7 linked regions of the Macaca fascicularis genome follow. The protein of the gene in region 1 interacts with the protein of each later gene in a biochemical or structural test. Links are inferred from orthologs where the notes say so. Each region holds a gene or a part of one and is shown in the gene's direction. Other genes may lie near its edges.

Region 1 (2,981 bases):
AACAGTAGAGGAGCCGTCAAATCCAGAGGCTAGCAGTTCAACTTCTGTAACACCAGATGTTAGTGACAATGAACCTGATCATTATAGATATTCTGACACCACTGACTCTGATCCAGAGAATGAACCTTTTGATGAAGATCAGCATACACAAATTACAAAAGTCTGAATTTTTTTTTTATCAAGAGGGATAAAATACCATGAAAACAAACTTGAATAAACTGAAAATGGACCTTTTTTTTTTTAATGGCAATAGGACATTGTGTCAGATTACCAGTTATAGGAACAATTCTCTTTTCCTGACCAATCTTGTTTTACCCTATACATCCACAGGGTTTTGACACTTGTTGTCCAGTTGAAAAAAGGTTGTGTAGCTGTGTCATGTATATACCTTTTTGTGTCAAAAGGACATTTAAAATTCAATTAGGATTAATAAAGATGGCACTTTCCAATTTTATTCCAGTTTTATAAAAAGTGGAGACAGACTGATGTGTATACGTAGGAATTTTTTCCTTTTGTGTTCTGTCACCAACTGAAGTGGCTAAATACTGGTTCACATCCTACCCCTTTGCACTTGTGGCAACAGATAAGTTTGCAGTTGGCTAAGAGAAGTTTCCGAAGGGTTTTACTACATTCTAATGCATGTATTCGGGTTAGGGGAATGGAGGGAATGCTCAGAAAGGAAATACATTTTATGCTGGACTCTGGACCATATACCATCTCCAGCTATTTACACACACCTTTCTTTAGCATGCTACAGTTATTAATCTGGACATTCGAGGAATTGGCCGCTGTCACTGCTTGTTGTTTGCGCATTTTTTTTTTAAAGCATATTGGTGCTAGAAAAGGCAGCTAAAGGAAGTGAATCTGTATTGGGGTACAGGAATGAACCTTCTGCAACATCTTAAGATCCACAAATGAAGGGATATAAAAATAATGTCATAGATAAGAAACACAGCAACAATGACTTAACCATATAAATGTGGAGGCTATCAACAAAGAATGGGCTTGAAACATTATAAAAATTGACAATGATTTATTAAATATGTTTTCTCAATTGTAACGACTTCTCCATCTCCTGTGTAATCAAGGCCAGTGCTAAAAGTCAGATGCTATTAGTACCTACATCAGTCAACAACTTACACTTATTTTATTAGTTTTCAATCATATACCTGCTGTGGATGCTTCATGTGCTGCCTGCAAGCTTCTTTTTTCTCATTAAATATAAAATATTTTGTAATGCTGCACAGAAATTTTCAATTTGAGATTCTACAGTAAGCGTTTTTTTTCTTTGAAGATTTATGATGCACTTATTCAATAGCTGTCAGCTGTTCCACCATTTTGACCTTACACATTCTATTACAATGAGTTTTGCAGTTTTGCACATTTTTTAAATATCATTAACTGTTAGGGAATTTTACTTGAATACTGAATACATATAATGTTTATATAAAAAAGGACATTTGTGTTAAAAAGGAAATTAGAGTTGCAGTAAACTTTCAACGCTGCACAAAAAAAAAAGGACATTTGATTTTTCAGTAGAAATTGTCCTACATGTGCTTTATTGATTTGCTATTGAAAGAATAGGGTGTTTTTTGTTTTTGTTTTTGTTTTTTTTTTTTTAAATGTGCAGTGTTGAATCATTTCTTCATAGTGCTACCCCGAGTTGGGACTAGGGCTTCAATTTCACTTCTTAAAAAAATTTCATCATATATTTGATATGCCCAGACTGCATACGATTTTAAGCGGAGTACAACTACTATTGTAAAGCTAATGTGAGGATACTATTAAAAAAGGATTTTTTTTTTCCAGAAATTTGGTGTCTTCAAATTATACCTTCACCTTGACGTTTGAATATCCAGCCATTATATTTCTTAATGGTATAAAATTCCATTTTCAATAACTTATTGGTGCTGAAATTGTTCACTAGCTGTGGTCTGACCTAGTTAATTTACAAATACAGATTGAATAGGACCTACTAGAGCAGCATTCATAGAGTTTGATGGCAAATAGATTAGGCAGAACTTCATCTAAAATATTCTTAGTAAATAATGTTGACATGTTTTCCATACCTTGTCAGTTTCATTCAACAATTTTTAAATTTTTAACAAAGCTCTTAAGATTTACACATTTATATTTAAACATCGATGAGTATTGATTGATTACTCCTAAGTTAAATTGGTAAAGTTAGAGACAACTATTCCTAACACCTCACCATTGAAATTTATATGCCACCTTGTCTTTCATAAAAGCTGAAAATTGTTACCTAAAATGAAAATCAACTTCATGTTTTGAAGATAGTTATAAATATTATTCTTTGTTACAATTTTGGGCACCGCATATTAAAACATTTATTGTTCCAGTATGTAACATGGAGGGCCAGGTCATAAATAATGACATTATAATGGGCTTTTGCACTGTTACTATTTTTCCTTTGGAATGTGAAGGTCTGAATGAGGGTTTTGATTTTGAATGTTTCAATGTTTTTGAGAAGCCTTGCTTACATTTTATGGTGTAGTCATTGGAAATGGAAAAATGGCATTATATATATTATATATATAAATATATATTATACATACTCTCCTTACTTTATTTCAGTTACCATCCCCATAGAATTTGACAAGAATTGCTATGACTGAAAGGTTTTCGAGTCCTAATTAAACCTTTATTTATGGCAGTATTCATAATTAGCCTGAAATGCATTCTGTAGGTAATCTCTGAGTTTCTGGAATGTTTTCTTAGACTTTTTGGATGTGCAGCAGCTTACATGTCTGAAGTTACTTGAAGGCATCACTTTTAAGAAAGCTTACAATTGGGCCCTGTACCATCCCAAGTCCTTTGTAGCTCCTCTTGAACATGTTTGCCATACTTTTAAAAGAGTAGTTGAATAAATAGCGTCACCATTCTTTGCTGTGGCACAGGTTATAAACTTAAGTGGAGTTTACCGGCAGCATCAAATGTTTCAGCTTTAAAAAATTAGGGTA
Region 2 (3,500 bases), on another chromosome or scaffold:
ACATTTTTTTTTTTTTTTTTTTTTTTTTTGAGACGGAGTCTAGCTCTGTTGCCCAGGCTGGAGTACAGTGGCACGATCTTGGCTTACTGCAACTTCTGCCTCCCAGGTTCAAGTGATTCTCCTGCCTCAGCCTCCTGAGTATCTGGGATTATAGACACCTGCCACCATGCCTGGCTAATTTTTGTATTTTTAGTAGAGATAGGGTTTCACCACGTTGGTCAGTCTGGTCTTGAACTCCTGACCTCGTGATCCACCTGCCTTGGCCTCCCAAAGTGCTGGGATTACAGATGTGAGCTGGAAAGCCACTGAGAATTCCTGAGTAAAGGCTTTTTTTCCCCCTGAAAAAACAACTTTTTTTTTTCCCCTTCCTGGTTACAACAGTGTTCTTTGTGGAAAATATAGAAAACACAAAGGAGAACATCAAAATCCCCCTTAATGCCACCCCCCTGCAAACAGCCAGTGTTTTTTTTTTTTTTTTGTCGCCCAGGCTGGAGTGCAGTGGCATGATCTTGGCCCACTGCAACCTCAGCCTTCCAGATTCAAGCGATTCTCCTGCCTCAGCCTCCTGAGTAGCTGGGATTACAGGCGCCCACCACCACGCCTGGCTAATTTTTTGTATTTTTAGTAGAAGTGGGGTTTCACCATGTTGGCCAGGCTGGTCTCGTACTCCTGACCTCAGATGATCCGCCCGCCTCTGCCTCCCAAAGTGCTGGGATTGCAGGCATGAACCACCGCGCCCGGCCAACAGCCAGTGTTCATAGTTTGGCATCTGCCCTTCCCGTCACTTTCCAGGTCTTATGTTAATTCTCTACATGCCCTTCCGTAAGCAGCGTTTTCACTTAAATGTTTTGCCACATCGTTACATCTGTTAACAGAGCATGATTTCTGTTTTATTTGTACCTAATTTATATGAGTGTATTTATATAATCATATTGTACATGTTTTCATTTTTCTGGGGCAGCCCTTTATTTTTTTCCCTTTCTCTTTTGATTGGCTTCTCCTCCTCCTTTCTTTTCATTCTATGAATTTCTCTCCCATGGTTTTTAATTTAATAATATTGACATAGTAATCCATGATGAACTGTATTTTATTTTACCAATCCCCATTTTTGGACTTTAGATAAATTCCCGTGTTTTGCTATTAAAGTGCATTGGTGAATGGGCATGCCCAGAGGAAATGTTTAATAAAGCCAACTGTTTACACCAGGTTTAGAGTTCATTTTCTAGTAAGTCTTAGTGGCTCAATATTCAAGCATTTACTAACCTGATACAATCCATCCTTCAGAGGAACCGCATCGGCTCGGAAAACCCAAGCGATGTTTTTCGTTTTTTGGTGGAAGAACGCATTCAGTGCTGTCAGACCCGGAAAGTCCGCTACACGGAGAGGGTGGATTACCTGATGCAGTTACCTGTGGCCATGGAGGCGGCAACCAACAAGGGTAACAATTCCAAAGCGGGAAGTTAGTACTGTGTGTCTTCATATGGGAAAACCCTTGAATCAGAGAGAATGGTTTAGTCACTGAAGTGTGTCAGGAGTAGACCCAGCCCAGATGATGTCTGCTTTGCTCATCTCTTTTCATCTCTTTGTTAGTTCCCATGTGACTTTTCCTTTGAGAAGAATCAAATGCATCACAGGTTTTATGGAGGCGTTATGGTTCGAACCTACTTCACTGCCTATAAATTTGGCCAACTACTGAGTATGGAGTCAGCATAATTTTGGGGAAAATTATTGGTAATGATATATGTAGAAAATTCTTTAACACTGTCATTTATAAGTTGTGCTATAAAGTCTGAGGGAAATGATCAGGACTGTATTTTTTAAAGTTAGACATTTGAGCAGAGGTCTCTTGAAATAATCCGGCTTTGGCACATGAGTATTTCAGCCACCTCTTCTGGGAGATAAATTGTGTCAGGGTTCTTTGTAAAGGCAAAGCCCATTAGAAGGGTCTCTGGACTTTGGAAGAGAGAAGGAGGCAGAGATGTGGCATTCATGTTTGGTGCCTTCTCCTTCCATCAGTCTAATCTGGTTCTTCCTAGGCAGAATAGACAAATGGTATTTCTTTGAATTAACATCGTATAAGCAAAATAGATAAAATAGCTGCTGGATTGCTCATCTCCTGTGAACCAGTCATTTTTGTAAAGTTCGGCAATTCCACTCTGCAGCCATAAAAAGGAATGAGATTATGTCCTTTGCACATGGATGAAGCTGGAAGCCATCATCCTCAGCAAACTAACACAGGAACAGAAAACCAAACACCGCATGTTCGCATTCATAAGTGGGAGTTGAACATTGAGAACACATGGACAAAGGGAGGGGAACATCACACACTGGGGCCTCTTGGGGGGTGGAGGGAAAGGGGAGGGAATTTAGAGGACAAGACAATAGGTGCAGCAAACCACCGTGGCACATGTATACCTGTGTAACAGACCTGCACGTTCTGCACATGTATCCTGTTTTTTTTTTTTTTTTTAGAATAAAGAAAAAAAAGTTCAGCAAATCCCTGGATGGCCCATTTTCCTCTTTCTTGTGTGTGGGGAGTCATGGGTCAGTTTATGATGTTAACTGAAAAGTGATGATTATGATGATTTGAGATGAAATGATTTTCATTTTCTATATGCTCATGCAGTTTTTGATCAATTTCAAAATCTTTCCAGTGTAGAAACAAGGGAATGGGAGTCTGTTGTTTGTTTCCTTGTTAGAACTAGGCTTCAGTGGTTTCTCTTGTCTACCTCAGGGTTACTGACTCACATGTCTGCTCAGGTCCATGATCTTTTCTAATTCTGTTTATCATTTATTAGTGATAACTATTTTTTTTTCAGAAAGGAGATTTATAATTTAGTCTCTGGAATTTGACTGCTGGGAATATCTAATGTTAGCAACCTAGATATAAGTACATCATAAACTGACTGGGGACAGGGGAATGAATTTTAAAAGCATCTAAGATGTGTTTAGGAAAACAGATATGTGTGTAAGTGTACTTACAAACTGATAAATCAGGAGTTTTTTTGTTTGTTTTTTTTTTCTTTTTTGGGTAATACAAAAGAAATGACCAGAAAGGCCATTCAGATCTATATAAAATTTTGACTACAGGCTAGTTTCCAGGACCAGATCTGCTGGTGCTTGGGAGCTTCCTCTTTTTCCCTTTGTATTTAATCATTTGAGTAGGAATAGCACAGAGGCCTTCGAGGTTGGTAGCCCTATGTCTGAGGTGTTGGGTAACCTCCACAGGAAGTTGTCTTGGCAGTGTTGGTTACTGTCATGGGTGTGTGATGGTGGCTAACTGCAGTCCTGTAGTTATCCTCCTCCTTGGCCTCACACCTCTGTGGGACCCATGACCTCTAATCATAGCTGCTGGTGGAACCAAATCAGAAAATGTATAACACCGCATCTGGTTCTTGGTTCTTGTCAGGCGCTTAGCAGTGGTTTTTTTTTTTTTTTTTTTTTTTTTTCCTGCCTTTGGTTATTTTATTTTAAAACAGCTTAGAGTTAACAGGAATGTT
Region 3 (4,018 bases), on another chromosome or scaffold:
TCCTTCGCTGAGCCCTCATCTTCCCAGCAGGGATCAGAACCTGCACTCCTCTATGCAAGTCCTGGGACAGCACAAAGTGGATTAGGGTTAGGGTTCCCACAAACGGAAAAATGTTATTCTTTTTTTGTTTTTTTTTTTTTTTTGGGACGGAGTCTCACGCTGTTGCCCAGGCTGGAGTGCAGTGGCGCGATCTCGGCTCACTGCAAGCTCCGCCTCCTGGGTTCACGCCATTCTCCTGCCTCAGCCTCCTGAGTAGCTAGGACTACAGGCGCCCGCCACCGCGCCCGGCTAATTTTTTGTATTTTTTTTAGTAGAGACGGGGTTTCACTGTGGTCTCGATCTCCTGACCTTGTGATCCGCCCGCCTCGGCCTCCCAAAGTGCTGGGATTACAGGCTTGAGCCACCGCGCCCGGCCGGAAAAATGTTATTCAAACAACTCTGTAGGTTCCCAGGAGGCCCTCCGTCTTAATTCTCGAGACCGCTAGGCCCTCACTGCCCCGAGCGCGGGAGTGGTTGCCACGGCAACAGCCTCTCCCTCTCAATTGGAGCTGCACCCAGGCTTTGGCTAAAGGCTGTTAAAACGTTGGCCAGGTGCGGTGGCTCACGCCTGTAATCCCAGGGCGGATCATCTGAAGTCAGAAGTTTGAAACCATCCTGGCCAACATGGCGAAATTCCGTCTCTACTAAAAATACAAAAATTAGCCCGGCGTGGTGGTGCGCGCCTGTAATCCCAGCTACTCGGGAGGCTGAGGCAGGAGAATCGCTTGAACCCAGGAGGCGGAGGTTGCAATGATCCGAGATCGCGCCACCGTACTCTAGCCTGGGCGACAGAGCGAGACTCCGTCTCAAAAACAAAAAAAAAAGTTAGAGCCCTTTATCCGAGGGCCAGCTCTCCTCACTCCCCGCCACAGGTAGGGGAAACCAGGCCTGAGCCAGCGGGCCCCACCGCCCAGAACCGGGAACTCGGCGGGCCACGCCCCTGCCACCCCAGCGCCGGCCGCTCGGTAACAAACACTTCCACTTCCTGAGCGCACTGTCTTCGCCCGCTGCGGGGCGCAGTGCCGAGCACAGGCCCCGCCCCGCGCGTTCCCATTGGCCGGCGCCGTTCACCCGGACGGAGCGCCCCGGCCCGCAGCACCCTATTGGCCCGCGGAGGTCCCCACCCTCAGCGCGGCCCCGCCCCCGGGGTAAGGAGCTGGGGCGGGCTCTGGGACGCTCAGACGCCGCGCGGGGCGGGGATTGGTCCGTGCAGTTCTTTCGGCTCCTCGCGGCCCGCGGCGGCCGGCGGTTCCTGGGACACCTGCTCGCTTCGCCCGTCCGGCGGCTCAGGGCTTCCCCGCTGCGCTCCCGGTTTGCCGGACAGGAAGAAGGGCTGGGCCGTCCCGTCCCATCCCCAACGGAACCCCAAGTCGCGCCGCTGACCCGTCGCAGGGCGAGATGAGCGCGGACGCGGCGGCTGGGGCGCCCCTGCCCCGGCTCTGCTGCCTGGAGAAGGGTCCGAACGGCTACGGCTTCCACCTGCACGGGGAGAAGGGCAAGTTGGGCCAGTACATCCGGCTGGTGGAGCCCGGCTCACCGGCCGAGAAGGCGGGGCTGCTGGCGGGGGACCGGCTGGTGGAGGTGAACGGCGAAAATGTGGAGAAGGAGACCCACCAGCAGGTGGTGAGCCGCATCCGCGCGGCACTCAACGCCGTGCGCCTGCTGGTGGTCGACCCCGAGACGGACGAGCAGCTGCAGAAGCTTGGCGTCCAGGTCCGAGAGGAGCTGCTGCGCGCCCAGGAAACGCCGGGGCAGGCCGAGCCGGCGGCCGCCGCCGAGGCGCAGGGGGCTGGCAATGAAAATGAGCCTCGCGAGGCCGACAAGAGCCACCCGGAGCAGGTAAGCTCGGCCCCGGCCGCGCAGGCTGGAATGGAGTGGGAGGGGGATCTAGAGAGACCCAGGTGCCCCGGCCGTCCAGCCCCGCGCCGGCCGTCGTTTTTCTGAAACTCGAGCTGCGAGGGGGAGACCGCTTCCGCCCGCCTACCAGGCGCTCTGGCACATCCTAGGCAGGCCTGGGGCTGCGTCCCGCGACCTCCTCTCCTTCCCAGGCTGTGCTGGGAGCCTGAGAGCCTTTGCCGCCTGCACCTCTTGTTCCCTGGCCTTTGGGAGGGCGGCGCAGGGGAACCCAGCCCCCCTTCCCTCGGGTCTGCGGGTGTCTGCTCCCCTTCCTCGGAATCCCCCAATCCTGCCCGTCCCCTGGCGCCCTCTCCTCGTTCACCCCAGTCCGCAGATGGGCCAGGGAGGAAGGGCTCTCCTCCCCAGAGGTGCCAGCTTCCCCCGCCACTCCTACGTCAAAAGCTAGAGAAATAGCATTACTCCTGTGTGGAGCCCCGGCGCAAGGAGGCCCTCCCCGCAGCCCGCCGGTGTGTGTCCTGAACTTCAGTCCTGCAGGACTTCATCCTCCCGGGACTTCTAAGGGAGAGGAAGCCCCACCATCTCAGGGCGGTGTGGGGGTTGCCTGGCGGGGAGGAGGAGCCAAGGCATCTCGGAGTGGTGGTTCTGCCACCTCAGAGGATTTACGATTCTCAGGAATGTGAGGAGTAAGCGCCTAGAGCTGTATCTGGGAGGGGAGGGGGAAGACCTTAGAAGAAGAGAAAGATGGCTAGGGGGAGGGGAGAGAGCTCCTGAGGCTCACGGCCCTGTGTGCGCCAGCGGAGCTCACGGTGAGCCGGTGGTCTTGCCCTGGCCTTGCCACGGTCACTCTGGTGCCCACACAGCCAGCAGGCCGGTTGCTTTTTGCCCATGTTTGGTGTTTGCCCATAGGATCCCAGTTTGGATCAGCTGCAGGAGGGGCAGCTGGCAAAACAGGAGTTGTGCTGAGCCTCCTGTCCCCAGAGAGTGGAGTGGTGTACTGTGTAGGGCAGGGCGTGAGCCTCCCAGGGCCCCTTCAGTTTGCACCAGCTCGCCCTGGTGGCAGTGTCTGATGGGAGTGTCCATGGGGACCAGGAGGATCCTTCTGGACAGAGAAAGGGTACAGTTTGGCATTAAGGGAGAAGGCAAAGCCCTAGAGGATCAACTGGCTTGGTGGAAGTGAGGTCACCAGAAGCCCTGTCCAGCCAGAGGTGGGTGCTGGGAATGCCAGGGCCACCAGGCTCCCACTTCCTGCCCCTGCCAACCTGGCATTGGCAAGGGGAGGGGGAAGGGACCTGAGCACCCGTAGCAAGGGGGTTGACACCAGGGAGTTGGGGCTGATGATCTCCAGTCCCAGGCAGAAATCCAGTGTGAACTTTATGCTGAGTCCATCGATCGATTTGACATTCTTTTTTTTTTTTTTTTGGACTTTGGAACCCACACAAATACTCACCCACCCCCACCCCCCACAAGTTACAGTCTCATTCAGCTCCTCCCTTTGCCCTTTTGGTTATGCCGCTGGGTGCCAGAGGGCCTGGGAGGCTAATGTGGAGGCCTGGCATAGCACATGTGCCCAAAGGCAGCAGCTTTGAGCTTCCTGGGTAAGCACAGAATCAGATTCCTGCATGTTTTGGAGGGACACCTACATTTGTGTGTACTTTGTTAGGCCAAGAGATGAGAGAAGAGCCACCAGCAAATCCTGGGGACACCATCACCAGCCAAGTCCCAGGACTTCTGAGCTTTGGTTCTCCCATCTGTGAGATGGAGGCATTGGGCGATGTGATGCCTGCCTTCTCTAGAATTGTAGAAATGACATGAAGTATCTGAGCCTCTTATTAAAGTTTTAAATGCTGAACCGCACTCCTTCATGCCCGGCGTTTGAATCCCAGATCCTTAAACTGACTCCTAGTCAACACCATTGAGTCCCTCTAGCAGAAAATCCCCGCAACCCTGTGTGTTGAGCATACAGATGGCCCGTGCGGTTATTGCAAAAAAATGTTAACAGACATTGTAAGAGTTCTTTTTTCTAAAACACACCCCTTTACTACTAAAGCATCAAATGGAGGTTTGCCAGTTCGTTTTAGTCTGAATTTGTGTGCAAAGTGGGGCTGTTTCCTTATCTTCATTA
Region 4 (2,315 bases), on another chromosome or scaffold:
GCCGTGCAGCCCAATGAGGGTGACAACGACTATATCATCCCCCTGCCTGACCCCAAACCCGAGGTTGCTGACGAGGGCCCACTGGAGGGTTCCCCCAGCCTAGCCAGGTAACCACTGTGGCCTGGGGCCAAGGATATCGTGTGTGTGTGTGTGTGTGTGTGTGTGTGTGTGTGTGTGTGTGTGTGTTTGCCTGCATGCGTGCTGTCAGGCTTGCCTCAGAGGTAAGTTACCTAGGGTAAGTACTTATCCCTAACAACAAATAAAAGAGAGAATGGAACTCATTTGAACTTTGATGCCCTGAGGTGGAAAGGGCAGGTTAGTAAAAACAAAAGTATGGGCTGGGAATTATTTGCAAGGTAGCTATTTCCTTTAAGGGAGCCCCCAGAGGTTATCTATACTCTCTCATCTCTAGGTCCTGTCCTAGCCCCAAGGAGAAGAAGCAAACCTACTTAGCATCCCCAGCACCCCAGTTGTTACTCATGGCCAGCCAGAGGCCTATGTTCTGTTCTTCAGCACCATGCCCTGGGGCTGGAGAGAGCCTCCAGGGCTGCAGGAGTCAGAGGCGCCTACAGGAATTCAGGACAGAATTCAGATTGGGAAGGAGATTGTGGTTTTCTTTTGCCTTGGGAAGTGGTGAAGTTACAGCTCAGCGGGGGCTTTATAGGAGGACCCTGCTGTTGTGGGGACTTGATGTCCACATAGGATCTCCCCTTAACTGGAGAGAAGGGCTCCTCATGAGGCCACGCCCACCTCCAAAGCAAGATCCAGCCCAAGGTGAAGTGGCTGGAGCCCCAGGCTGGGGTACTGTCCCAACTCTGCCACTAGCCGCTATGAGACCTGGGAAGGCTTTTCCTCTGAGAGCCTCAGTTTCTCCATATGTGCCAGGGGTGCACACAGGCCTTAGAAGGCTCCCAAAGGCCCTCATTGCTCTAACTGTTGAAGAGACGAATCATCCAAGAGTTCCAGTGGATGGCGCAGAGGAGTGAAGTGCAGCTCTCCTACAGCTTGAGGTGTGAACGCAGAGGAGTGAAGTGCAGCTCTCCCACAGCTTGAGGTGTGAACGCAGAGGAGTGAAGTGCAGCTCTCCCACAGCTTGAGGTGTGAACGCAGAGGAGTGAAGTGCAGCTCTCCCACAGCTTGAGGTGTGAACGCAGAGGAGTGAAGTGCAGCTCTCCCACAGCTTGAGGTGTGAACGCAGAGGAGTGAAGTGCAGCTCTCCCACAGCTTGAGGTGTGAACGCAGAGGAGTGAAGTGCAGCTCTCCCACAGCTTGAGGTGTGAACGCAGAGGAGTGAAGTGCAGATCTCCCATAGCTTGAGGTGTGAATGCTCGCCCTGTTTTGTGCCCTCAGACAAGCTGCTTCACTGTGTAAACACTGGTGTCCTCTTCTTTTTTTTTTTTTTTTGAGATGGAGTTGCACTCTTCTTGCCCAGGCTGGAGTGCAGTGGTGCGATCTCGGCTCACCGCAACCTCCGCCCCCCGGTTCAAGCAGTTCTCCTGCCTCAGCCTCCCGAGTAGCTAGAATTACAGGCATGGAGCATCACACCCGGCTAATTTTGTATTTTTAGTAGAGACGGGGTTTCTCCGTGTTGAGGCTGGTCTCGAACCCCTGACCTCAGGTGATCTACCCGCCTCGGCCTCCCAAAGTGCTGGGATTTCAGGCGTGAGCCACCGCACTCGGCCGGTGTCCTCTTCTATAAAATATAAACAGTAAAAGTACTTCTATTAGGCAGTCATTGCAAGGATTAAATGAGATAGCATACACCTTTAGGGGTGCAGAGGAGGCAGATGCTAGTGGGTGAGAAATGAGCTTTGGAGCCAGCCAACCCTGCTCTGAAGTTCCAGCTCCTGCACTTCCCTGCTGTGTGAAGTGGGGCAGTGACATAACCTCTCTGAACCACACTTTCCTCACGGTGCAGGCATTGCATAGTTTTCACAAGAGTTAAATGAGCCGGAGTGTGTGAAGCCCATGGTGCAGGGGCAGACACACCGAAGGCTCTTCATGACTGCTGCTGTAATCCTCCTGGGCTCCTTCCTAGCCTGTCACTCACTGCCTCCTTCCTCTAGCTCCACCCTGAATGAAGTCAACACCTCCTCGACCATCTCCTGTGACAGCCCTCTGGAGCCCCAGGAGGAACCAGAGCCAGAGCCCCAGCTTGAGCGCCAGGTGGAACCAGAGCCAGAGCTGGAACAGCTGCCGGATTCAGGGTGCCCCGCGCCTCGAGCGGAAGCAGAGGACAGCTTCCTGTAGGGGGCTGGCCCCCACCCTGCCCTGCCCAAAGCTTCCCCTCTGCCAGTACCCAGCACCTCCTGGCC
Region 5 (4,245 bases), on another chromosome or scaffold:
ACGAGGCTGTGTATCCTTGAGAGCAGGACTTGGATCTTATTTATTTCTATCCCCGTTTCCTAGCAAGTGAACATATATGAACAATAAATGTCATCAAGGGAGAGGGCAAATTTCCCTCCCTCTTTCTCCTGAATTCTGAAGTGATTCCATTCTTAGAACGGTTTCTTATTGCAACCATTCCATTCACAGTCCATCAACGAAGTCTTGAGAGTATCATGCATGCCATGAGCCATTTTCACTATTAAACAACTTCCATCCCTCTGTTAAGTTCCTGGCTTTTAGGACACCCCTGCTTTCAGGACTGTTTGACCCTTCTATCCCATCTTCTCTATGCAATGTTGCTTTAACTGTTGTTCAAGATCCCAGGATGCTTGATCCGGGAAAGCACAGAGGTCTGCTGCCAACATACCAACATACCTCTCTGTCAAGTTGTCCAAAATCACAATAGAAAGAGCCCTGACTAGAGCTAGGAGACCTAAGTTCTGGGCTGCTCTGTTACGGATTAGCTTCTACGTCCTTGGACAAGTTGCTTCCCTTTTCTGGACCTCCGTTCCTTGTCCTAGATAGGTTCTAAAGTCGGTGGGTCCTTACAATAAGTTAGGATTCTAAGGTGCAATCCAAAATTCAACCAGTGGTCAGTATACCTGCGAGTAGCTTTAAGGTTACAATACGAGGTTCCTCGGCCTTCCCTTTAGTGGCCAATGGATACGGCCTCAGAGGCCGTCAGGCTTACTGGGAAGAGCCTTCCGGCTTTGAAAGACAGGATCTCCGGGTTTCCAGTTCTGTCACTCACTCGGGGTAACTTTGGGCAAGTTCTCTCTGGAACTCCGAATAGGGAGGTCCTTGTCACCCAGAGGAGGTTCGAAGACCTGGGCAGTGACTTGGAGAGCTTCCCGAGACTCCCCTTCTATAACCTGGGTGGCTCAGCCCGGGAGCGGGGTCCCAGCTGGCCCGTGGTTCCGCTCACAGGTGCGCTCGAAACTTAAACCTGCAGCGCTGGCCGAGGGCGGCTCAGCTTCGGAGGGCGCGACTCCAGGTGAGTTCTTAAAGGGACCGTCAGCGTTTGGGTAACACCTGCGATGCTGACCGGGCTGGGACGCAGGCTTGGGGGAATGAATGAATGAATGAATGAACGAATGAATGAACAAACCTTCTCTCCCCACCCTGAAGTATACCATACTTGGAATTTATCACTTAGGCTTAAAAATCTTGTAGTATAACCCTCAAACTCTTGCCACATTACCCAGTGTCTCTATTTTACATGTCCTTCTTTAATGAACCCCCTCCCGCCAAGCCTATTACTAAGGGACGAATAGGAACTTAACAAGCAGCCTGGAGTGGAAGGCAATGCAGAGTTGGCACCCCTCCCCGAACTCCTCCCTCTCCCTCTCCCAGGCCCCGCCCTCCCCGCCCCCTGGGAGGTGCAGTTGGCTCCTCCTTAAGGCGGCTTTTCCCCGATGGGATCTACCCCTGGGGTCGCCAGGCGCTCTCTCCGCAGCGGAGTTGGAAACGGCACGTGTTGAATGAGGTTAAGGGGTGTCTCGGAATGTGCGCCTTGGCTCTGGTGTAGGCGAGGTCACGCCTCTCTTCAGACAGCCCGAGCCTTCCCGGCCTGGCGCGTTTAGCTCGGAACTGCGGGACACGCCGGTGGGCTCGGGCAAGGTAAAGGCGGGCTCCTCCAGGGCCACCCCGGGCCACCTGTGGAGTCCGCGTGTTAACTCCTTTGTTCTCAGAGCCACTTCAGCGGCCGCCCTTTTAAGCGAGGGGGTTCCCTCAGGATGCTCCCCGTGTCCCCCTTCCGTTCCCCAGCCCTCTCCCGACCCGCCTCCCCCTTCCAACCCGAAGGTAGCAGCGCGGGGAGCCCGGGGCTCGGCGCGAGCCGCCTCCTCACTTCCCATTGGCTGAGAGCGCCGGGAAGGCGGTCACGTGGGAGCGCGGCAGGCCAGCTCGGGGGCCGCCATCTTGGCGGAAAGTTTAGGGGGAGAGCGGTTGGGGGCGCGGAAGGAGGCGAGGTTCCGGGGGTGGGGCGGGCAGGCGGCAACAGGGCGAGCGGGCCGGTGGGCCGCGGCGAGCGGGGAGGCGGCGCGACCTAGAAGGAGGAAGAGGCCGCGGGGGTGCGGCGGCCCAAGGGAGCTCCTCCCCCGTCCCTTCACCCCCTCCGCTCGGCTCCTCGGGCCCCGGGCGGGGCGGGGGTACGTGGAGCGGGGCCGGGCCGGGGAGCTGCTCCGAGTCTGGCCGGAGCGCACCCCAGTTCCGAGCGCACGCCGCTCGCGGGAACTTTGTGGCGGCGCCGCAGGTGTGGGGGCCCGCGGAGGTGTGCATGCGGGGCGCGAGGGCGTCGCGGAGAGCGGCCGCTGCCCTGTCCGGCCCCCGCTGGAGCAGCCCGGAGGCAGCGAGCAAGGAGAAAGGCAAGCGGAGGAGGGGGCCCGGGCAGGGCGGGCGGCCAGTCCCGCCGGTCCCCTCTCAGCGCTCTGCGGCCGCTGCTGGCTCAGGGGCCAAGGGTCGGAGCGCTTCACCGGCCCGTCCCCAGTAGCAGGTGGGGAGCGTGGATACTTGTGCCGGGGGAAGAGGCGGCCTCAGGTCTACGCTCTTTGGGGAGGGGGACGCTTTCGAGGAGAGTTTGAACACCGACTTCTCTCTGTTCTTAATTTGGAGGGGTACCCACTCCAGGGAGAAGCTTTCCACATTGACAGACAACTGCTGCGTTTTGAGACTCTTTCTTTGACTTGGTAAAACTTTGGAACGTGGGGTTTTCCAATAGGGCTGCGAGGGTTTTCTATTTCGATAGGGGGAAATGCTAGTTTAACATGATTCTATCCTTTTTCCTTTCTGTTGTGTGTTTTTAAAGGTGTGTGCCCTCTTCCTGATTCTGGAGAAAAATGCCGGTCCGGAAGCAAGGTGAGAGTTTATTCCATAACTCTGTTGATGTCACTTGGCTTTTCCGTATGTCAGTTTTTTGATTGGTGTTTTAGAATAGTTTGTGTAACTTTGATGAGACAGCACGGTCCTAGCTTTATTGGTTAGGGGATGTAAGTCTCACATCATTTCAGAAGATGGAAACAGGAAAATGTTTGTTAAACTTTCTTAACATTTCTCTGGTGATTAAGAGAGGCAATTAACACCCCCCCCCTCCACAGATGTCCTTAAAAACTCTGCATTGGTGTTTTAGTATTTCACTTCATCATTCTTACTAAGCACTATTCTGTGGGCAACCGTGGGATACTAAGAATTTGTATTTTGAAATGTTAAAAATTTGGATTTTAATGACAAAATGTAGATTATCTGCTTTTGCATATCAGGTAATCTGAAACTGTTGCTAATACTTTGATCTTTTACTTTGGCAAACTAACAGTACATATTTATTCCAAACTGCTCACTCTCCTCCGTTTTCTAATGTGATATATGTTTAAATTTTTCTTGTCTTTAATTTTTTTTTATTTTTTGGTCATTCTAAGGAATATGTGTACATGAACATAGTGACATCAGTTGACCTGAAGGATTTGGGGAACTGTTTAGGTGTCATGCAGAATTATTTGCACTAGTGTGTGATACTTTTTTTGTAAATAGAGAGTTTTAATCAGGCTCTGCTTTTTCTTCTCAGATACCCAGAGAGCATTGCACCTTTTGGAAGAATATCGTTCAAAACTAAGCCAAACTGAAGACAGACAGCTCAGAAGTTCCATAGAACGGGTTATTAACATATTTCAGAGCAACCTCTTTCAGGCTTTAATAGGTGGGAATTAAAACTTTGTAACTATTATGCCAGCTAGGCTTTATGCTCCTCTTGATTCAGTTATTTTAAACTTAAGAAAATGATGTACTTAATTCTCTATGAGGCGTTCGGTAACTTGAACATCTTCAGTGCGTGTGTGTTTTTCATAGGCCAGGATCCTTTCCTAAAATACCTAGTAACCAAAAAACTTTCAGTATCATTTCAGTGGCTTTTGAGAACATTGCTTCACAGCTTAATAGCATTAACTGTTAAAAGATGTTGCAAAAATGTTTCAGGACCTAAAAGGTATGACTGAGTTACTGTTAGCTTGCTTCTGTATTTGACTTGTATGTCTCTGAAGTCATTGAAAGTGTGTGAAGGATTCTGCTGTGTGTAAGAACATTCAGTCCCTTAATATAGACTTCTGTTTAAACTTGGCATTCATGGAATCAGAATTTTAGACCTGGAAAATGATCTTAGAGGTGATCTTGTCTAATAATCGTATTTTACAGGCAAGAAAATGGAAAGTTTTA
Region 6 (4,204 bases), on another chromosome or scaffold:
CCCTGCCACCTCCGCCCCCCGGGTTCCAGCGATTCTCCTGCCTCAGCCTCCCGAGTAGCTGTAGCTGGGATTACAGGCGCGTGCCACCACGCCCAGAAAATTTTTGTATTTTTAGTAGAGACGGGGTTTCACTGTGTTGGCCAGGCTTGTCTCAATCTCCTGACCTCGTGATCCACCCGCCTCGGCCTCCCAAAGTGCTGGGATTACAAGCGTGAGCCACCAGGCCCGGCCACTATTTGTATTTTACACTTGATCTTGGCCAAAAGGCCAAGAAGCGATACTATTTATATTTTTATAATACTTATCCCCATCTAACATACTACATACTGCAATTATTTATTATATCTTTTGTTTAGTGTCTAATATCCTCCTCCACCTGCACCCCAGCAGAATGTAAGCTCCATAAGGACAACAATATTGATCTATTTTGTTGTCTGATGTAATCCGCTGTACGCCCTGGACAGAACCTGCTACAAAGTAGGAGCTCAGTAAGTATTTGAATGAATGCATCGTGGCACGGGAAGAACCCAGAAGAAAGGGGCGGCTGAAGCTGTGAAAGGAGCAAGTGGCCTGGCGCGGGGGCTCACGCCTGCAATCCCAGCACTTTGAGAGGCCAAGGCGGGCAGATCACTTGAGGTTAGAAATTCGAGACCAGCCTGGCCAACATGGCGAAACCCCATCTCTACTAAAAATACAAAAATTAGCCCAGCGTTGTGGTGGGCGCCTGTGGTCTCAGCTACTCTGAGGCTGAGACAGAGAACTGCTTGAACCCGGGAGACGGAGGTTGCAGCGAGCTGAGAGCGCGCCACTATACTCCAGCCTGGGCAAGAGCGAGACTCCGTCTCAAAAAAAAGAAAACAAAAAACAAAAAACAACTGTGTGTGTGTGTGGGGGGGGGGGGGGGGCGGGTCAATAAACAGAGCAATACTGTATATGTAAAATACAGAATGGTATGGTACCAAGAACACATAGATGGAATGATCTGTAGCACTTCTCAATTGTATTACATTGAACGAAACCGTTTGGAGCTGGTTCTCCCCCCTCCCCCACTGTCTTTGTTTCTTTGGGAACCCCCACACGGCACAAACCGTGTTTTAATTCCTATTCTCTAGTGTGCTGATAAGTGCCTGGCACGTATTAAGTTGTCAAAAGAGGTCGTGAGCAAGTTAACAAATCACTGCTTCCATGTCCCTAACTACTCTTAAGCTCCTGGAGAAGAGATTTCCTATCTCTTGCGCTTCTACTTCAACGCCCACTTCAGAGAGGGCTCAAAGTAACGTCGTGAACTTAATACGCAATAAGGCAGCGCCCAGAGGCGGAAGAGGCAGAGTTTTTAGCTCCGGCCACGTGACGAAGGTGGGCGGGGCGTCAAAGTTCATATCCCAGCGTCCTTTGAATCAACTTCCTTTTTTCTTTTTTCCGGCGTTCAAGATGTCGAAGCGAGGTGAGGTTTTGCTTCTGGAGGATCCTCCACCATCTGTCGTGCAGTGGCTGGCGGATTCGTCAGGAGCGGTGGCCCTAGGCAGCTGGGGCGCTTTGCTCTCCTTCAGGCCGGAGAGGGAGAGCCAGGCCATCGCAAGAGCACTGCCAGGGCCCTCGAAAGTGGCAGTGGGGTGCTGGAGAGTTGACATAGCAGGATCCCGACATGAATATAGTCTGGATCCCGCGAGATCGCTCTGCGAATAGGGCTATCGTATTGGGGTTGAAGTTAGACTGGATTAGGCCCTGGTTTGCGCGACCTCTGCGGTCTTATGCTTTGCAGGAGCAATTGCGTTTTGCGAAAGTTGGAACAAGGGCTGAGTCGTCTAGGTTCCTTAATTTCGATGTCAGAGTGGTAATAGTGAGAAATAGGCTACTTTCCGTGAGAATCGGGTGGCACACGGGGAGGGCATAAGTAAAATCCGAGCGAGCTAATCTATAGCATACCATCTGTCAAAGTATGTGCGGTGAATTACAGTTTAAGAGTATGAGAGGGAACTGCGAACCATGTCTAGATAGTGATCTCTTTATCCTGTTTACCTTCCCTTTATATCCACAGGACGTGGTGGGTCCTCTGGTGCGAAATTCCGGATTTCCTTGGGTCTTCCGGTAGGAGCTGTGATCAATTGTGCTGACAACACAGGTGAGGTCTTTGACTGCAGGTTTCTATACTCCCCCTTTTAAAAGCACTCAATGGGCCTGTGCCTAATGACCTATTGAGCCGTCAAGAAAGGGGAGAGTGAAAACATCGCTTTTGGGTGAAGTGGCAACATGTTGTGTTGTTTGCTTCAATCGGTGGTGTGACAAGGCGTTCTTGAGGACTAACTGCTTGGGCAGTCAGTGGAGGGAGGGACTTTGGAAGTGTTTGGGAAATGTAATACTGATGGAACGGCCTGATGGGCCCTCAACATTTTTCATTTTTATTTACATTGATTTGTAGGAGCCAAAAACCTGTATATCATCTCCGTGAAGGGGATCAAGGGACGGCTGAACAGACTTCCCGCTGCTGGTGTGGGTGACATGGTGATGGCCACAGTCAAGAAAGGCAAACCAGAGCTCAGAAAAAAGGGTGAGTAAACACTGAGCCCACCTTAACACTGATAAGTAGTGGGGGGACTCTTTCCTTTATTGGAAAATGGATCAGTTTTCAAGGCCTCAAGGTTGTTTTCCATTGAGAGGCAATGTGAGATAAGTATCTTAAGTTTTTGTTCATATTATGTTGGAGGGGGGACCATCATCTTGTCATTTCCATACTTTAGATTTATTTATTTATTTATTTTTTGAGATGGGGTCTCCCTCTGTCGCTCAGCCCACACTGGAGAGTGCAATGGCACGATCTTGGCTGACTGCAACCTCTCTGCCTCCTGGGTTCTCAAAAAAAAAAAAAAAAAAATTAGAAAATGAAAACGAGAAGCTGCTCATTATTTTATTTTTATTTATTTATTTTTGAGATGTAATCTCACTCTGTTGCCCAGGCTGCAGTGCAGTGGCACATATCTTTCTGTTCACTGCAACCTCCACTTCCCAGGCTCAAGTGATTGCCCTGCCTCAGCCTCCCGAGGAGCTGGGATCATAGGTGTGCGCCACCACACCCAGCTAATTGCTCATTACTTAATCTCAGGCTACCCCCTCATAAGTTTTCCTGTCAGCTGTATGATTTAAAGGGGGAGGCCTCAAAATACTTGCAGTTTGTGTCCTGTCCGGCTTTAGAACTTCTGGTATTTGATGCATTTTAACTTCAGCTCTTGCAGTTTTTTCCTGTGCCTGCCTAGTCTGTCTCTACCCTGGGATGTCTTGCTCTTCTAAAGAGTTCATGGCCATCCCTTGAGTTACAAATATGATGTTGATTTGTTAGCCATGTGTTACAGTTACTCCTATTCCTGTATCCACTCCACGATGCTCTCCAGTAGATTTTTAACCTTTGGGTTAGAAATCTTTTTTTGTTTACCATTAATAGCCACTTGAGGGCTTGGTAGCACTGTGCTTGTGATTCAGCAATTGCATGGGCTTTTTCCTCTTCTCAGAACACTTCCTGGGTCTGATTGGTGGCCCAGGGAGCTGTTAGAGAAGAGCAGAGCAAATGGCCATCACTTTGTAGATGAGATGGCAGGAGAGTGGATTGTTGGTCTCAGTCAGTGGTGGGACAGACCAGAGCTCAGAACACTTCAGTTTTAAAACGAGCTGTGAGTATCCAATTCTGTTAATGTCTTTTTTGGTCCTTGTTTCTGCTAAATGAATACATCCCCTCCCCTTGGAACTTAATAAATAACAAGCACAGAAATGTGCAAAAGGGCCAGGTCTATTTGTCTACTTGATGAATTTGTGAGCATTTAATGGTTTATAAGTAGAGGAGGGTCAGTAAGTATTGGCTGCCTCATGTGTGTCCCATTGCTAACTTGGTTAGACTTATCTATTTTTTGTATAGTCTTCCTGTCATTATAAAAATTCTGTGTAAGGACCCCACGCTAGTATCAGTGAAGATTTGAATCCAGGTGTGTCTGACTCTACAATAGTTCTTCACAAGCATTATATTTTACTGTGTAGTGATACTTGATTTTGAAAGTTGGGAAAAGCATCTTTTTCACTTTAGTACAGATGGGTGTAAAAGTTACTTATGACACTGGAAAGTAAAACTTTAAAAGTAAAACATAAAGCCTGGTGTTTGGGCCCTGGAATTCCAACTGTTTTCCAGTATAAATCTGAATAGCTTGGTCTCTGCTCATTG
Region 7 (3,500 bases), on another chromosome or scaffold:
CTGTTATTTCTAGCTAATAGGAAGATGTCTTCAGGAAATGCTAAAATTGGGCACCCTGCCCCCAACTTCAAAGCCACAGCCGTTATGCCAGATGGTCAGTTTAAAGATATCAGCCTGTCTGACTACAAAGGTAAGAGAATTTACACTGGGCTCATTGAGATGGAGTTATTTTATATTCTAGGGATGGCTTGTTAGATTTGTGTCAGTGTTATGTTTGACTGTAAAACGTTTTGTCTCCTAGAAAGAAGTATTTAGGTTGTTACCTTCATGTTGAAGTAGTGATTATCAAGTGATTACAGGGTATATATCCTAGGACCAAACCACTTCTGGAGAAACCACATGCTTCATTATGTCTGGACATACTAGCTCAATTATCTTTTTAGTATTCCTCCTCTATTTTCTTTATTTATTTTTATTTTTGAGACAGGGTCTCATTCTGTCACCCAGGCTGGAGTGCAGTGGTGCAGTCATGGCTCACTGCAGCCTCTACCTCTCTGGACTCAGGCGATCCTCCCACCTCAGCCTCCCAAGTAGCTGGGACTGTAGGGGCAAGCCACCATGCCCGGCTAATTTTTGTGCTTTTTGTAGAGATGGGCACCATCTCCAACTCCTGGGCTCAAGCCCTCTACCTGCCCCAGCCTTTCAAAGTGCTGGGATAACAGGTGTGAGCTACTGCATCTGGCCCTCCTCTATTTTATTATTGGAGAAATTCGCATTATCTCTTGTTTTGTTTTGTTTTGTTTTTGAGACGGAGTCTCGCTCTGTCGCCCAGGCTGGAGTGCAGTGGCCGGATCTCAGCTCACTGCAAGCTCTGCCTCCCAGGTTTACGCCATTCTCCTGCCTCAGCCTCCCGAGTAGCGGGGACTACAGGCACCTGCCACCTCGCCTGGCTAGTTTTTTTGTATTTTTTAGTAGAGACGGGGTTTCACCGTGTTAGTCAGGATGGTCTCGATCTCCTGACCTCGTGATCCGCCCGCCTCGGCCTCCCAAAGTGCTGGGATTACAGGCTTGAGCCACCGCGCCCGGCTATCTCTTGTTATAAGAGACATTCTACATTTAAAGTCTCAGAACTCACTCAACTCTTTGGAGCTGTGACACTGCTTGTTCATTTGGGTCACATATATATTACAGTTGTTAATATTAAGCTGAGGGCTAGGCACTTTCCCTTGCCTGTTTTGACCCCAGAGGAGAGTTGATATTACAGATGGAACAACTCTCCTTTCTGTTGTCATAGTTTCATGCAGACACTTGGCAAGTTCTGTTGAGGCTCCTCCTTCCTTTACCTTGTAGTCCCAGAGCAGCTGGATCTCCTGGGACAGTTGAGGATATAGATTCCTTAGAATGCAAACCTGAAACTCAGGTGTCAAGTGTCCTTTTCTCAGTGGTGTAGCATCAGTTTCTGAAGTTAGTTTTTGCTAGAACATTTGACTAGGTTTCCTGACATAATCACAGTTTGTTGATGGGGCTTCTCCTAGCAAACAAGGTAAGTTGCACCGTAGGGAGGTGACCTTGGCCCAGGAGTATAAGCAGGAGGTCTAGGAGCAGCTGCTCTCTGCCCTCCAGGGTTTGACCTGCTGAGGCCCCATGGTGCTTGTTAGGCAAATCCCTGCAGGGGTTGTTTAGATGAGTTAGTTTCCAGTGATACTGCAAAGTGGTAATGTCTAAAAGGGCTGCTTGTTTGACTTTTTTTTTTTTTTGAGATGGAATTTTGCTCTTGTTGCATAGGCTGTAGTGCAGTGGCATGGTCTTGGGTCACTGCGACCTCCATCTCCCCAGTTCAAGTGATTCTCCTGGCTCAGCCTCCCGAGTAGCTGGGATTTCAGGCCCCCGCTATCACGCCCAGCTAATTTTTGTATTTTTAGTAGAGACACGTTTCACCATGTTGGTCAGGCTGGTCTTGAACTCCTGACCTCAGGTGATCCACCTGCCTCGGCCTACCAAAATGCTGGAATTACAGACATGAGCCACCATGCCAGGCTGAGCCACCACACCCAGCCTATTTGACTTTGCAAACATTGCTGCTACCTGGAAATGAGTGAATATTTGGAATTGTTCTGGTATTTAAGCCTGGTGGGTGTGGTGAAAAGGCTAGGCTGCCTGACCAGTTTGACGATCTGTTATTTCAGTGGTTAATCCCAGTGACTTCATTAAAATTGCAGCTAGAAGTTCTGTTACTCACTAGTACTTTTGTCTTTTCTCTGTCTCTCTCTGTGTATGTGTATGTATGTATTTTTTGTTGTTTTGAGACCGTCTTGCTCTGTTGCCCAGGCTGGCCTCAAACTCCTGGGGTCAAGGGATCCTCCCACCTCAGCCTCCCAAGTAGCTGGGACTACAAGCACGCACCACTGTGCCTGGCTTAAAATTTTTCCTGTCCTGTCAGGCACGTTAGGAACACATGTGATCACTTAAACCATGCTTGTTCCATTACTATGGTTCATCACGGGAGAAGTGCAAAGGCTCTGACTTCTTATTGGTGTCTTATCTCTACAGCAGAGGAGTGCTGCAATTCAGCTTCTCTGGGCGCTGTTTGTTAAGCGTTGGTATTAGGCCATGCTTATAAGTGCATTCTTGCTTTTGCTATCTTTGGAGAACTTGGTGTTTATGCTAATTTTAGCCACTCAGAAAAGATCAAAATTAGACTGAACAGTGTTTATTCTGTGGTTGGCAGCTAAGAATATGGAGGCAGGAGAATAAAGCATGGGATTGGAAGTTTCTTTCATTCAGGTTTTCCTAATGCACCAGGTTCTAAAAGTAGCTACTAGGAGACATCTATATCGAGCATCTTGGCATTTAGTGGTTATTGTGTCAGCCATCAACTTGCTTCTTTTTGTATAGGAAAATATAAAGCAAGGAAGTCTGTGTCAAATGCTAACCATGACTCCTGTTTTTCCCCCAGGAAAATATGTTGTGTTCTTCTTTTATCCTCTTGACTTCACCTTTGTGTGCCCTACGGAGATCATTGCTTTCAGTGATAGGGCAGAAGAATTTAAGAAACTCAACTGCCAAGTGATTGGTGCTTCTGTGGATTCTCACTTCTGTCATCTAGCATGGTAAATCTCTTGGTTCATTTGGCATATGAACTTTTTTTTTATTTTTTGAGATGGAGTCTCGCTCTGTCGCCCAGGCTAGAGGGCAGTGGTGTGATCTTGGCTCACTGCAAGCTCCGCCTCCTGGGTTCACGCCATTCTCCTGCCTCAGCCTCCAGAGTAGCTGGGACTACAGGTGCCCACCACCAGCCCGGCTAATTTTTTGTATTTTTAGTAGAGATGAGGTTTCATCGTGTTAGCCAGGATGGTCTCGATCTCCTGACCTCATGATCTGCCCGCCTTGGCCTCCCAAAGTGTTGGGATTACAGGTGTGAGCCACCGCACCTGGCCGCATGTGAACTTTTAAAACAGCAACTGGGAAGCTTTGGCAATAGACTTTCAAGTATTGGCTTCTCATGGAAGAAGTGCAAAGTCTGACTTTCTCTTACTGCTCATGACCTGGCAGCAGAGAAG

Evidence for each region.
Region 2: the proteins of PTEN (region 1) and USP13 form a complex in vitro, tested with the Homo sapiens proteins (3 studies listed by BioGRID, with this or other methods). The link is inferred for Macaca fascicularis from reciprocal best matches to the Homo sapiens genes PTEN and USP13.
Region 3: the proteins of PTEN (region 1) and NHERF1 form a complex in vitro, tested with the Homo sapiens proteins (3 studies listed by BioGRID and IntAct). The link is inferred for Macaca fascicularis from reciprocal best matches to the Homo sapiens genes PTEN and NHERF1.
Region 4: the proteins of PTEN (region 1) and PDGFRB form a complex in vitro, tested with the Homo sapiens proteins (2 studies listed by BioGRID and IntAct, with this or other methods). The link is inferred for Macaca fascicularis from reciprocal best matches to the Homo sapiens genes PTEN and PDGFRB.
Region 5: the proteins of PTEN (region 1) and DLG1 form a complex in vitro, tested with the Homo sapiens proteins (2 studies listed by BioGRID and IntAct, with this or other methods). The link is inferred for Macaca fascicularis from reciprocal best matches to the Homo sapiens genes PTEN and DLG1.
Region 6: the proteins of PTEN (region 1) and RPL23 form a complex in vitro, tested with the Homo sapiens proteins (2 studies listed by BioGRID). The link is inferred for Macaca fascicularis from reciprocal best matches to the Homo sapiens genes PTEN and RPL23.
Region 7: the proteins of PTEN (region 1) and PRDX1 form a complex in vitro, tested with the Homo sapiens proteins (2 studies listed by BioGRID and IntAct). The link is inferred for Macaca fascicularis from reciprocal best matches to the Homo sapiens genes PTEN and PRDX1.

Annotation. Positions count from the first base shown.
Region 1 is NC_088383.1:96,836,842-96,839,822, forward strand, and holds part of PTEN (phosphatidylinositol 3,4,5-trisphosphate 3-phosphatase and dual-specificity protein phosphatase PTEN), read left to right. Parts: coding exon 1-166; 3' UTR 167-2,981. UniProt on the Homo sapiens protein: Dual-specificity protein phosphatase, dephosphorylating tyrosine-, serine- and threonine-phosphorylated proteins.
Region 2 is NC_088376.1:91,516,311-91,519,810, forward strand, and holds part of USP13 (ubiquitin carboxyl-terminal hydrolase 13), read left to right. Parts: intron 1-1,284; coding exon 1,285-1,438; intron 1,439-3,500. UniProt on the Homo sapiens protein: Deubiquitinase that mediates deubiquitination of target proteins such as BECN1, MITF, SKP2 and USP10 and is involved in various processes such as autophagy, endoplasmic reticulum-associated degradation (ERAD), cell cycle progression or DNA damage response.
Region 3 is NC_088390.1:81,120,969-81,124,986, forward strand, and holds the start of NHERF1 (Na(+)/H(+) exchange regulatory cofactor NHE-RF1), read left to right. Parts: upstream 1-1,218; 5' UTR 1,219-1,437; coding exon 1,438-1,878; intron 1,879-4,018. UniProt on the Homo sapiens protein: Scaffold protein that connects plasma membrane proteins with members of the ezrin/moesin/radixin family and thereby helps to link them to the actin cytoskeleton and to regulate their surface expression. Necessary for recycling of internalized ADRB2.
Region 4 is NC_088380.1:157,000,395-157,002,709, reverse strand, and holds part of PDGFRB (platelet-derived growth factor receptor beta), read left to right. Parts: coding exon 1-107; intron 108-412; coding exon 413-986; 3' UTR 987-2,066; coding exon of another isoform or gene 2,067-2,250; 3' UTR 2,251-2,315. UniProt on the Homo sapiens protein: Tyrosine-protein kinase that acts as a cell-surface receptor for homodimeric PDGFB and PDGFD and for heterodimers formed by PDGFA and PDGFB, and plays an essential role in the regulation of embryonic development, cell proliferation, survival, differentiation, chemotaxis and migration.
Region 5 is NC_088376.1:2,756,722-2,760,966, reverse strand, and holds the start of DLG1 (disks large homolog 1), read left to right. Parts: upstream 1-1,445; 5' UTR 1,446-1,512; exon of another isoform or gene 1,513-1,662; intron 1,663-1,964; exon of another isoform or gene 1,965-2,536; intron 2,537-2,592; exon of another isoform or gene 2,593-2,729; intron 2,730-2,848; 5' UTR 2,849-2,879; coding exon 2,880-2,898; intron 2,899-3,601; coding exon 3,602-3,733; intron 3,734-4,245. UniProt on the Homo sapiens protein: Essential multidomain scaffolding protein required for normal development. Recruits channels, receptors and signaling molecules to discrete plasma membrane domains in polarized cells.
Region 6 is NC_088390.1:59,850,097-59,854,300, reverse strand, and holds the start of RPL23 (large ribosomal subunit protein uL14), read left to right. Parts: upstream 1-1,404; 5' UTR 1,405-1,431; coding exon 1,432-1,444; intron 1,445-2,038; coding exon 2,039-2,122; intron 2,123-2,153; exon of another isoform or gene 2,154-2,288; intron 2,289-2,419; coding exon 2,420-2,548; intron 2,549-4,204.
Region 7 is NC_088375.1:189,202,978-189,206,477, forward strand, and holds part of PRDX1 (peroxiredoxin-1), read left to right. Parts: intron 1-13; 5' UTR 14-24; coding exon 25-130; intron 131-2,896; coding exon 2,897-3,050; intron 3,051-3,500. UniProt on the Homo sapiens protein: Thiol-specific peroxidase that catalyzes the reduction of hydrogen peroxide and organic hydroperoxides to water and alcohols, respectively.